Callithrix jacchus: one gene and its partners. The protein of the gene in region 1 purifies or fractionates together with the protein of each later gene. This does not show direct contact. Links are inferred from orthologs where the notes say so. Each region holds a gene or a part of one and is shown in the gene's direction. Other genes may lie near its edges.

The links. The genes of interacting proteins can lie anywhere in the genome.
Region 2: the proteins of ZC3H4 (region 1) and CSNK2B purify together in Homo sapiens (affinity purification with mass spectrometry; 3 studies listed by BioGRID and IntAct, with this or other methods). This does not show direct contact. The link is inferred for Callithrix jacchus from reciprocal best matches to the Homo sapiens genes ZC3H4 and CSNK2B.
Region 3: the proteins of ZC3H4 (region 1) and WDR82 purify together in Homo sapiens (affinity purification with western blotting; 4 studies listed by BioGRID and IntAct, with this or other methods). This does not show direct contact. The link is inferred for Callithrix jacchus from reciprocal best matches to the Homo sapiens genes ZC3H4 and WDR82.

The regions. Positions count from the first base shown.
Region 1 is NC_133523.1:41,043,101-41,046,600, reverse strand, and holds part of ZC3H4 (zinc finger CCCH domain-containing protein 4), read left to right. Parts: intron 1-1,677; coding exon 1,678-1,789; intron 1,790-2,330; coding exon 2,331-2,440; intron 2,441-3,500. UniProt on the Homo sapiens protein: RNA-binding protein that suppresses transcription of long non-coding RNAs (lncRNAs). LncRNAs are defined as transcripts more than 200 nucleotides that are not translated into protein.
Region 2 is NC_133505.1:39,169,693-39,173,776, forward strand, and holds the start of CSNK2B (casein kinase II subunit beta), read left to right. Parts: upstream 1-1,284; 5' UTR 1,285-1,400; coding exon 1,401-1,476; intron 1,477-1,797; coding exon 1,798-1,880; intron 1,881-2,844; coding exon 2,845-2,947; intron 2,948-3,529; coding exon 3,530-3,645; intron 3,646-4,084. UniProt on the Homo sapiens protein: Regulatory subunit of casein kinase II/CK2.
Region 3 is NC_133516.1:34,802,070-34,806,008, reverse strand, and holds the start of WDR82 (WD repeat-containing protein 82), read left to right. Parts: upstream 1-1,139; 5' UTR 1,140-1,429; coding exon 1,430-1,590; intron 1,591-3,939. UniProt on the Homo sapiens protein: Regulatory component of the SET1/COMPASS complex implicated in the tethering of this complex to transcriptional start sites of active genes.

The DNA.
Region 1 (3,500 bases):
GTGGGCAACATAATGAGACCCCCATCTTTTAAAAAAAAATTGAAAAAGCCCAGTTTGGTGGCGTCTGCTTATAGTCCCAGCGTCTAAGGAGTCTGAGGCAGGAGGATCTCTTGAGCCTGGGAGATCAAGGCAGCAATGATCTGTGATTGCGCCACTGCACTTCAGCCTGGGTGGCAGAGTGAGAACCTGTGTGAGAAAAAAGAAAGGCTGGGCGCAGTGGCTCACGCTTGTAATCCCTGCACTTTGGGAGGCCAAGACGGGTGGATCACCTGAAGTAAGGAGTTCGAGACCATTCTGGCCAACATTGTGAAACCTCATCTCTACTAAAAATACAAAAATTAGCTGGGTTTGCTGGCGGGCGCCTGTAATCTCAGCTACTTGGGAAGCTGAGGCAGGAGAATCACTTGAACCTGGGAAGCAGAGGTTGCAGTGAGCCACAATCATGCCATTGTATTCCAGCCTGGGTGACCAGAGCAAAACTGTCTCAAAAAAAAAAGAGAGAGAGAGAATAGGCATTTCTAAGAGTTAGGGGGATGGATCAGCTCTGTCTTCAGTTCACAGTGCTGGTGAGTGATTCCTGAGGACCAAATGATGAGGGGTGGAAAACACAATTCTGGATTTCACCCACGTGTTGTGTTGTTGATTGTGTTCAGCTGGAAATAAAGGAAACCTTAACTCTATTGGCTTCAACATATAGATATTTGTTTCTCAGAACCAGGACTCCAGAGCTGGGTGGGCTGTACCTGACAGTGCAGTGGTCAGGGGCACCCTGGGGATCTAGGTTCCTTCCTGCTTGCTATTCTGCCATCTTTAAACCTGTGGCTTTTGGCTGGGCATGGTGGCTCAAACCTGTAATCCCAGTACTTTGGGAGGCTGAGGCTTGCAGATCACTTGAGGTCAGGAGTTCGAGACTAGCCTGACTAACATGGAGAAACCCTGTCACTACTAAAAATACAGAATTAGCTGGGTGTGGTGGCTCATGCCTGTAGTCCCACTTACTCGGGAGACTGAGGCAGGAGAATCGCTTGAACCCAGGAGGCGGAGGTTACAGTGAGCCAAGATCACACCATTCCATTCCAGCCTGGGCAATGAGAGTAAAACTTCATCTCAAAAAAAAAAAAAATGTGGCTTTTGTCCTCATGGTTACATGATGGCTGCTGTGCCTCATGGCATCACATCCAGGTGCTAGGAGGAAGAGAAATGGGCAAAAGGATTTTCTTTAAATTCAGGAAGTGACCAGTCTTGGTGGCTCATGCCTATAATCCCAGCACTTTGGGAGGCCAGGGTGGGAAGATCACTTGAACCCAGGAGTTTCAGACCACCTTGGGCAGCATAGTGAGATGCTGTCTGAACAAAAAATTTCAAAACATACTAGCTGGCTTGGTGGTGTGGGCCTGTAGTCCTAGCTGTGGGAGGATCACCTGAGCCCATGTGGCGAGGCTGCAGTGAGCCGTGATTGTGCCGCTGTGCTCCAGCCCGGGCAACAGAGTGAGACCCTGTGGGCAACAGCCTCTGGCACCTGTGCTTCCTAGACCTGTCTTCCTTTCCCAGGGGGAATTTGTTTCTTTCCCTGGCCGCTCCATGCACCAGCAGTGACAGCATTTCTTCGCAGTGCAGATAGAAGTAAGCGAGAGCTCCCCACATCACCGCCTTACGTTTTCATTGCTTCTCTTCTAGGGAGACCACTGTAATTTTAGCCATGACATTGAACTCCCAAAGAAGCGAGAACTGTGCAAGTTTTACATCACTGGATTTTGCGCCAGAGCCGAGAACTGCCCCTATATGCACGATATCCTTTGGTGCCAGCGTCTGGCCTGAACGAGGTGCAGAACTTCTCTGTTCCTTGATGGTAGTAACAGCTGACCTTCCTTTGCTGTGCTTTCTCTCTCTGTGCCAACAGCTTTCTGTGAGTCTCCATCTCATCTAACCCTCACGTCTGCCCTCAGAGGGCTCTGCCTTTCCTCTCCTTCCAGGGAGTAAATGGAGATGCACATGGTGCCTGTTTTGTCTTCTGAAGGCTCCCAAGACTAGCCCATACCATCACCCGAGATTCTTCCGGGGCTTTTATACCTTGGGCAAGTCGTTTAACTTCCTCGGTCTGATTGACAATCTGAGGACGAAGCCCCCAGCCAGTGTGATGGGGCAGGAAGTGGTCTGCAGTCTGGAGTGCCGGGGTCTCTCCATGGGTCTGCTGCCAACCCACTGAGCAGCCCTGAGCACCTACCCTCACCTCTCTGGGTTCAGTTTTCTCATCTCCAAAACAAAGGGAATTGGATTCTGCCTTCGGGAGGGTTCTGTGAGGTGAAGCATTTACCTTAATTTGCATGAACGCGATTTCCCGTGTAAGCTGTACCACACCACGGGGAACTGCATCAATGGTGACGACTGCATGTTTTCCCACGACCCTCTGACCGAAGAGACCAGGGAGCTCTTGGATAAGGTAAGGTCCGGGGGTCCCAGGGCTCACAGGAACTGGGACATGTGCACCCAGGCCTCAGTGCTGTAGCCTGCCTGTCCAGCCTCTGTAGTGCCCAGCTGAGTTTATTGGAGTTGGGCCATTCTAAGGAGGACATGGGGACTGTGTTCTCTTCTGCAGGTAGTTAAGGTGAGCACGTGTCTTGTGTTAGGCCAGGACAGGCTGCTGCTGTTTCCCCAGGGAAAAGGCCAAATGAAAGGAATACTGCCTGATGTACTTCCAAGCATGGATTGTGATCTCTTAGCCGTCATTTAGAGAGAGCCCACAGTATACAAATATATACAAATCACCTGTAACCCCAGCACTTTGGGAGGCTGAAGTGGGAGGATCGCGTGAGCTCAAGAGTTTGAGACCAGCCTAGGTATGTAGTGAGACCTGAGACCTTGTTTCTGCTAAAAATTTAAAAAATTGGATGGGCTGGGCACAGTGGCTCACACCTGTAATCCCAGCATTTTGGGAGGCTGAGGCTGGCAGATCACCTGAGGCCAAGTTTTCAGGACCAGCCTAGCCAACATGGCAAAACCCCATCACTACTAGAAGTATAAAAATTACCCAGGCGTGGTGGCACATGCTTGTAGTCACAACTACTCAGGAGGCAGAGGGTGCAGTGAGCTGAGATTGCACTCCTGCACTCCATCCAGCCTGTGCAACAGAATGAGACTCTGTCTCAAAAAAAAATGCAGGCCGGGTGCAGTGGCTCACACCTGTGATCCCAACACTTTGGGGGGCCGACGTGGACAGTTCATGCGGTTAAGAAATCGAGACGATCCCGGCCAACATGGTGAAACCTCATCTCTACTAAAATACAAAAATTAGCAGGTCATGGTGGCACATGCCTGTAGTCCCAGGTACTCGGGAGGCTGAGGCAGGAGAATCGCTTGAACCAAGGAGGCGGAAATTGCCATTGAGCCAAGATTGCACCACTGCACTACAGTCTGGGCAACACAGTGAGATACTCTGTCTCCAAAAAAAAAAAAAAATTGGCCGCTGGGCGCCGTGGCTTACACCTGTAATCCCAACACTT
Region 2 (4,084 bases), on another chromosome or scaffold:
CGGCACGAAGACGCATGCGTGGCGACGACAACAACAACAAAAACCACAACCCACATTACTTGAGGGCTCAGGCGTGCGCAAAGCTCCCAGTTCAGTTTCCCGCGCTGGAACCTTTCCAATAGCAAACGCGCAAAGCTCTGCGCGCCCCGCTGGCGCGAGCACCAGGATCTGTCGGTTAGGGTTCTACTTTTACCTATACGCCCCCACAATGCCCTTCGCCTTCCTCAACGTGAACCGCCCCCCTCCCCGCCCCCTCGCTCCAAGTCCATTTTCTGGACCTGGGAATCCACTCTCCGTGTTAGGAAAGGCCCTCAGGAGGCGGAGGGAAACTTGTGGAATGCCGAGAAGCCGTGAAATGAAATAACGTCACGCCTGCCCCTCACCATTACTCTGACCAGGGTTCTAAGGTCACACTTAGAGCGTAAAAGGAGAAGTGCAAGGGGACGAGCGAAATGGCTGGCCCCACCTCAGGTTACCGCACTGGGCCGTTCTGGTTCTCACAACGCTCAGCTCAGCTCAGCCCAGCCCACCCAACCCAAGTCCCTACGCACGGAGCCAAACTGCACCTCTCGCCTCATGAGGCCAGAGCCGGGAGGGTAACAGGAGGCCAGTCAAGGGTGTCCGGCGGGACTGACTCTCACTAGGGGCTCAACAATCAATAAGGACCCAGCGGATTGGCCGGGGATGGGCCAGTCCCCTGGGCAGCAGCGCCCCGCTGCGCCGGAACTAGACGGGAACTGCGTGTCTCCCTCCTCTCCCCGCCCCATCTCGGCTTTTCTCCCAGTGAGCACACAACTATATTTCCCAGGCTCCCTGGCCCCAAACGTCATACCTGGCTTCCGCTTCCGGTGGCTTCTCGCTGTGCCCCGCCCGCAAGCGTCCTCCTCCGGGGCTTCGTGACAGCCAGGTCGTCCGCGGGTCTTCCTGGGATTGGTAGTTCGCTTTTCCTTCATTTCACCAGTTTCTCTTTCTACCTGGGACTCCGTGTCCCGGCATCCATCGCAGCACCTGACCCTTGGCGCTTGCGTGTTGCCCTCTTCCCCACCCTCCCCAATTTCCACTCCCCCCCACCCCACTTCTCTTGCCGCGGTCGGGTCCGCGGCCTGCGCTGTAGCGGTCGCCGCCGTTCTTTGGAACTAGCGACTTCCCTACCCCACCCCAGTCCTGGTCCCCGTCCAGGCGGTGAGTCTGAGGTCGTCGCTACTCAGAGTCTCTTGTTGGGAGCAGCACATGGGGTCTCCGTACTTTGATGTGGGGGCGGGGGAGGAAGCGACCAGGTCCGGCACAAAGGAGGGAGAGGTGGCCTGAGGAGCGGAGGCAAGATGTGTGGACTCCAGTGAAAGGGACTTGACGGTCGCTCCAGCCCATAAGAAGAGGAGGGGCCCGGCTCTTGCTAGAGAATGATAAACTTCGAAACGCTTGGGAAAGGCGCCGGGGTCATGCAGAGAGCTGCAGTGGTAGGGAGCCTGAGCCGAGGTCCGTGCTGGAGGTGACACAAAGTAGAGAGGGCCCTGGCCTTCGGGAGCTCCAGGGATGTGGGTCAGGCTGGTGGGTCAAAGTATCTGTTGGGTTCTCTCAAGTGGTGGGACCCCAAAGTGTGTTTAACCTCAAAGAAAAGGAGCTGAGACGTAAATTAGAGGAGCTGGAGAGGAGTGTTTCAGAGTTTGGGATCCTTTAAAAAAGGACGGCTCCAAATTCTAAAGTCTCCCGTGGTTGGAGGGCCGAATGTGGGAGGAGGGAGGATACCAGAGGCAAGGAGGGAGAACTTGAGCTTTACTGACATTCTTCGTTTTCCAGCTGACGTGAAGATGAGCAGCTCAGAGGAGGTGTCCTGGATTTCCTGGTTCTGTGGGCTCCGTGGCAATGAATTCTTCTGTGAAGTGAGTTCTCTTCAACCCCCCTCCTTGCCAGCTCCACATAGATTCCCACTAGACGTTTCTCCACATATTCCACTTCCTCATCGTTCTCTTATATGCTACTTGAAAACTTCCCATCAATGAAGAGTCCCCTCAGTAACCCCCGGCAAATCTGTGCTAAAGTGGCAAAATTGGGGCCTGTCCCAACTCTGCCATCCTCCAGCAATATAACGTTGGACTAGGCAATTTGTGACTTTCTCTTTTTTTCTTTTTGAGACCGAGTCTTGCTCTGTCACCCAGGCTGGAGTGTAGTGGTGTGATCTCACCTCAATGCAACCTCTGCCTTCCAGGTTCAAGTGATTCTCCTGCTCCAGCCTCCCAAGTAGCTGGGATTACAAGTGGCTGCCACCACGCCCAGCTAATTTTGTATTTTTAGTAGAGACAGGGTTTCACTAGGTTGCCCAGGCTGATCTCGAACTCCAGACTTTAGGTAATCTGCCCGCCTTGGCCTCCCAAAGGGCTGTGATTACAGGCATGAGCCAGTGCACCCAGCGTGTGTCTTTTATTACTAAAGTGGCACTGCTAGTACCTGTCTCAGGTGGCCGTTAGGAGAATTGAAATGCTACGTATCCAAATCTTTTGTTCAGAAACCAGGCTGTTCAGCTTCCACCTTCCTTAGCCAGCTGAGAGGACAAAATGGTTCCTAGCGATGGGAGACAGGAATAAGGATAGAGATCTTGAAAAGAATGTCTCTCTAAGAAAAAGACTGCTGTACCTGCTTATCCTTAGAAAACAAAAGCCAAAGCTTTTATGGGAGGGAGTATAGGTGAACAGAGAAGAGACGCGAGTACTTCTGCTGAGTTTCAAGTGAGAAACAAGGGGGAACAGAGCAGTTAGGTTGATAACAAGGCATCAGTTAGAGCATTTTGCTCACGTTAAAGATGGAGATTTTGACATGGGTTCCCTCTTGGCTTCCATATCCTGACAGGTGGATGAAGACTACATCCAGGACAAATTTAATCTTACTGGACTCAATGAGCAGGTCCCTCACTATCGACAAGCTCTAGATATGATCTTGGACCTGGAGCCTGGTGAGGCACCCTCAGGGTTGTTTGTGTGTGTGCGTGTACTTTTTTTTCTCTTCAGATCCCTATTCACTTGCTTGAATTTTGAAATTTCCTTTGGTTCTCTGATTTTCTTAACCCCAAATTCATGCTTTATTTTGATCCTCCACCTGACTCTTGTCTAGTTTTGTGACGCATTATCACTTGTTTCCCATACTTTTTAAATCCACAGTTCGGATCTATTCCAAAATGGGTTTCCTCATGGGTCTCATTTGCTGTCTGTTTCTCCTACCTTGGACCTTCTAGTCCGGAGTTTGATCTTCTGCATTGATATTGTCGCATTTATGTATTGAGGAGGGAGTTGGGAGGGAGAGGAGAGGAGAGGAGAGGGCAGAGGCTGACGAGGTGTGAAGAGAAGGCAGAGCTCTGCCTTGGGCTGGTGAAAGCGTCAGAAGCCCAGGTTTCTGGGTCACATGCCCAGGTGTTGGATAGGGTAAGGCTCAAAAGTAGGTGCTAGGCAAACTGAATAGCTAGCAGCCCCTGGGTATGGGCAGGGCACCTAGGAAAGCTGAAAAACAAGTGGTTGCATTTGGCTGGGCTGTGTTTCAGATGAAGAACTGGAAGACAACCCCAACCAGAGTGACTTGATTGAGCAGGCAGCCGAGATGCTTTATGGATTGATCCACGCCCGCTACATCCTTACCAACCGTGGCATTGCCCAGATGGTGAGGCCACTCTGCTCCCACTTGCCTCTTTCTGAGCAGTAAGAGAAACAGGTTCCTGCAGCAAGAAGTCATGTTTCAGCCCAGCTAAGGAAGCTAGCTGAGAAGAGGGGAAGAACCCCAGAACTTGGGCCTTGGAATTTAATCCTGATTGGGGGTCATCCTGAAGGGATCGTTTTCAGGGAGGGAGACAGACCTTGAACAGAGAGTTGTTATAGATTGGCTCTTCCTCAAGGAACAAACAGTGAATGGCTCTGATGGTTTGTTGTCTGCCTAACTGGAAGAAAGGCAACATAGGAGTTTGAGAGCCCATCTGGGCCAGTGAAGGGGCCTCTGGACAGAGGTGGGAGGAGTGGGGGACAGAGTGATGTGGGTTGGGCTGAGAAGGGAGTTGCCTCTTCTCTTAACACCTACCTGCCAACCCCTTCCATTTTATTCACCT
Region 3 (3,939 bases), on another chromosome or scaffold:
AATGTGTAAGATTTAACACTAAAAGGGGCGAGGGTTGCATCTATAAGGTTTATATGCATATATATGAAGAGAAGAAGAAATTCGAATTTAAAACTGTATCCTCTGGCTGGGAACAGTGGCTCATGCCTATAATTCCAGCACTTTGGGAGGCCCAGGCTGGCAGATCACCTTAGGTCGGGAGTTCGAGACCAGCCTGGCCAATATGACAAAACCCCATCTCTACTAAAAATACAAAAATTAGCTGGGTGTAGTGGTGAGAGCCTGTAGTCCCAGCTACTCAGGAGGCTGAGGCAGGAGAATCGTTTGTACCTGGGAGGTGGAGGTTGCAGTGAACTGAGATCTTGCCACTGCACTCACCTGGGGGACAGAGTGAGACTCCTTCTCAAAAAGAAAAGTTATGAAGCCGGGAGCAGTGGTTCATGCCTGTAATCCCAGCACTTTGGGAGGCTGAGGCTGTTGGATTACCTGAGGTCAGGAGTTCGAGACCAGTCTGACTGACATGGTGAAACCCCATCTCTACTAAAAATAAAAAAAAATTAGCTGGGCATGGTGGCACACGCCTGTAGTCCCAGCTACTCGGGAGGCTGAGGTCAGAGAATTGCTTGAACCCCGGAGGCAGAGGTTGCAGTGAGCGGAGATAAGACCAATACACTCCAGCCTAGGCGACAGAGCGAGACTCCGTCTCATTGAAAAAAAAAAATTGTGCACTCTATTGTATATCACAGCCCAATAAAATAGTAAAGAGGTCGAAGCTGTCTAAGCGGGCGCTGCGGTGGAGTAGCGGTCAAGACCGCCTGCGAGCGGTTCACCTGATTCACCCCCAAAACCGGCTTCCAGCCGCGTTCCCGACCCCAAAGCACCCCTTCCGCGCGGCTTGCGGTTGGGGCGCCTGTAGGGGACACCCGAGCCTTCGTAGGGGGATGTTGCAAGCCCGCGCAAGGGCCCCCGGCTCCCAGGCACTCGCCACCTTCCGACACCCTGGGGAAGGCCCTGCACGTCCCGACCCTTCCCTCCCAGCAGCCCGCCGAGCCACTACACTCGACAGCGGCAGCGCTGACGTCACCGCCCCGCCTCCCCGCCTCGCGCGGCTGTTCCCGCCCCGCCCCCTTTCCCGACGTGCGCCGCGGCTAAAGCTCCTCGCCCTCCGCTTCTGCCTGTCGCCCCAAGATGGCGGACACAATGAGCCGGCTACGCGCTAGTTGCCCCTGAGGTGGCTGTGAGGACCAAAGATCGGCGAGGCTCCACAGTCCAGGCAGAAGACTGTTGTCCAAGCAGGAGGAAGGGGAGGAGGCGGCCCAACTGTCGGCCGACTTCCCGCTAGCCGCCGGCGCGGCGCCGGCCCCGCCTGGTTGGCCCCTCGGCAGCCCGCCCGCTCGCCGCCGGGCCCCGCCCCGGCCCTGCGCCGCCGCTGCCTTCCCCTGCCGCCGCCATGAAGCTGACCGACAGCGTGCTGCGGAGCTTCCGCGTCGCTAAGGTGTTCCGCGAAAACTCGGACAAGATTAACTGCTTCGATTTCAGCCCCAACGGCGAGACGGTCATCTCGAGCAGCGACGACGACTCCATCGTGCTCTATGACTGCCAGGAGGGCAAGTGAGTGAGGCGGAGGCCCTGGGCCCGGGTCTCAGTCCCTCCCTCCCTCCCTCCGGTGGCCCAGCACTGGTCCCTCTGCCCGCCCTCCGTCTCGACTTCAGTCCCCGGTCTATTTTGCACGCGTTCCTGCCAGGGCCACCTTCACCCCGCAGCCGTCCAGGAGACCTTTTATTTTTTCTTCTGAAAAAAAAAAAAAAAATTGTGATAGTCATAATAATGGCATTATTATTTGTATGTCTAAGGTCTCCTTAAAGCGCTATGCATCGCTTGCCAAGCCCCACCTTGACCTTGACCTTTAAACGCCCGGTCTGCCCACCCCGGGCCCAGCAGGTAGCGTTTTCAGCTCCTCAGGTTCTCTAAGGTGCTGGTCGTCTCCGTCCTCGTCGCAGGACTGCAGGGGCGGCTCTCCTGACTCCTTCGGCAGCTCTCTCTTCTGCCCTCTCCGCTGTGACCTCGATTCCTCCCTGGCACTCCGCCCATCCCCTGCCCCTCAGCTTCTTGCGACCTTTCTGCCGTCAGGCCGCGTGGGTTGCAGTTCTTAGCTGTCAGGATTTATTTGTTGTGCCTCTTTGAGCCCCCTTGCATTTTCTTCCTGTTCCTAGGCTCTCTCTTACTCCGTCAGAATCGGTGCCCACGTTCTTAAGTGAACTTCTCAGCAGCATCTAAAACTTCCTTTTTGCCACATACAAACAAACTTGGTCGTCCCATCCTGACCTGAATGTGAGCTTCCGTTAAAACAAAGCAAGCATCGTAGAACATTTTTGGGTTTCCTTTCATCCTTTTTTAAAAATTATTATTAAATATGTTGGTCCACTTTGAATTCCAATTCTGACCATGACATTTCTATGTTGCCGCAAGTCATCTGGAGACCCACCACACCTGCATCTTTTCACAAAACCTAAGCACGGCACTTTGCCTTTTTCCCTGGGGGGTCCCTGGCAGCCCCCTCACCGCACGCCTGTGGACTTGCAGCTCCTTGGAGCCAAAACTAGCTTAGATTAAATTCGTTTTACCCTCAGCCCCCTTCCCCATGAAGGCTTGCTGATGTTTGGTTTAAATCGGTGGCCCCTGGTTTTGTCAGACTTGATTTTGTTACTTAGTAACACATCTTGTTTTTTTGAGATCTTGGGTTTTTTTCTACCTTCTCCAGCTGTTTCTTTTGCTTTTTTTTTTTTTCCCCCCCTGGTGTCTTTTGGAACGTGTCTTTTCATTTGTGAATTTGATTATCTGAGGTAACACTAGTTTGGACTGAGCTATAGTGGTATCCCCCCCCCACCCCCAGTTTTTTCCCACTGGGGCTGTGAAAAAGTGTTATGTAACTGGCTCTGGATCTGCTTGCAGTATGTGGCAGGGTGGTCTTGAGGAGGGAATTGTTAGCTGGGCAAATAGTTTGAGTCAGTGTTACTCATTTAGTAGATAGATTTCTGTCCTGGTCTGGTCACTTGAATCAGTTTAGAAGAGGAAGTAACATTTAAAGGTATGGTAGTAGCTGGAGTTGTGGAGTCCTGGAGTAGTAATTTGAAGCTGGCTTGCATGAAACGTTTAGTGCTTATGCACAGATTAGGACCTCTTCCCAGAATATGAGGATGGAGATCATATATCCTCATTTAAAGAAAATGAAGGTTGTGATAGCATTTCTTTGCAGTTTGTCCCCAAATTTGGCATAATTTCTCTTTGGGAAGTATAACCTTGACATGAGTCTGGTCTGGTTTTTTTTTGAGACAGTCTCCCTCTGTCGCCCAGGCTGGAGTGCAGTGGCATGATCTTGGCTTACTGAAACTATCGCCTACTGGATTCAAGCGATTCTCCTGCCTCAGCCTCCTGAATAGCTGGGATTACAGGTGTCCGCCACCATGGCCTGCTAATTTTTGTGTTTTTAGTAGAGATGGGTTTCACCTCATTGGCCAGGCTGGTCTTGAACTCCTGACCTCAGGTGATCCACCCTCCTCAGCCTTCCAAAGTGCTGGGATTACAGGCATGAGCCACTGTACCTGGCCAAGTCCTGTCTTGTTAAGAGTAAAATGCCAATTTTGTGACATCAGGCAGTTTATTCACTCATGTAGCATTTTTATGTAATTACAAACATAGAAATTTGCAAGTGTTTCAGAGAACTGCCATATGATTCAATAACTGGTTACATTTTCTGCATTTGCTTCATTACTGCATGTAAATATTTATATATACTGTGTGCCTCCCCCCAACCCTTTTTTTTTTTTTTTTTTTTTTGAGACGGAGGTTTGCTCTTTTTACCCAGGTTGGAGTGCAATGGCGCAATCTCGGCTCACCACAACCTCCGACTCCTGGGTTCAGGCAATTCTCCTGCCTCCTGAGTAGCTGCGATTACAGGCA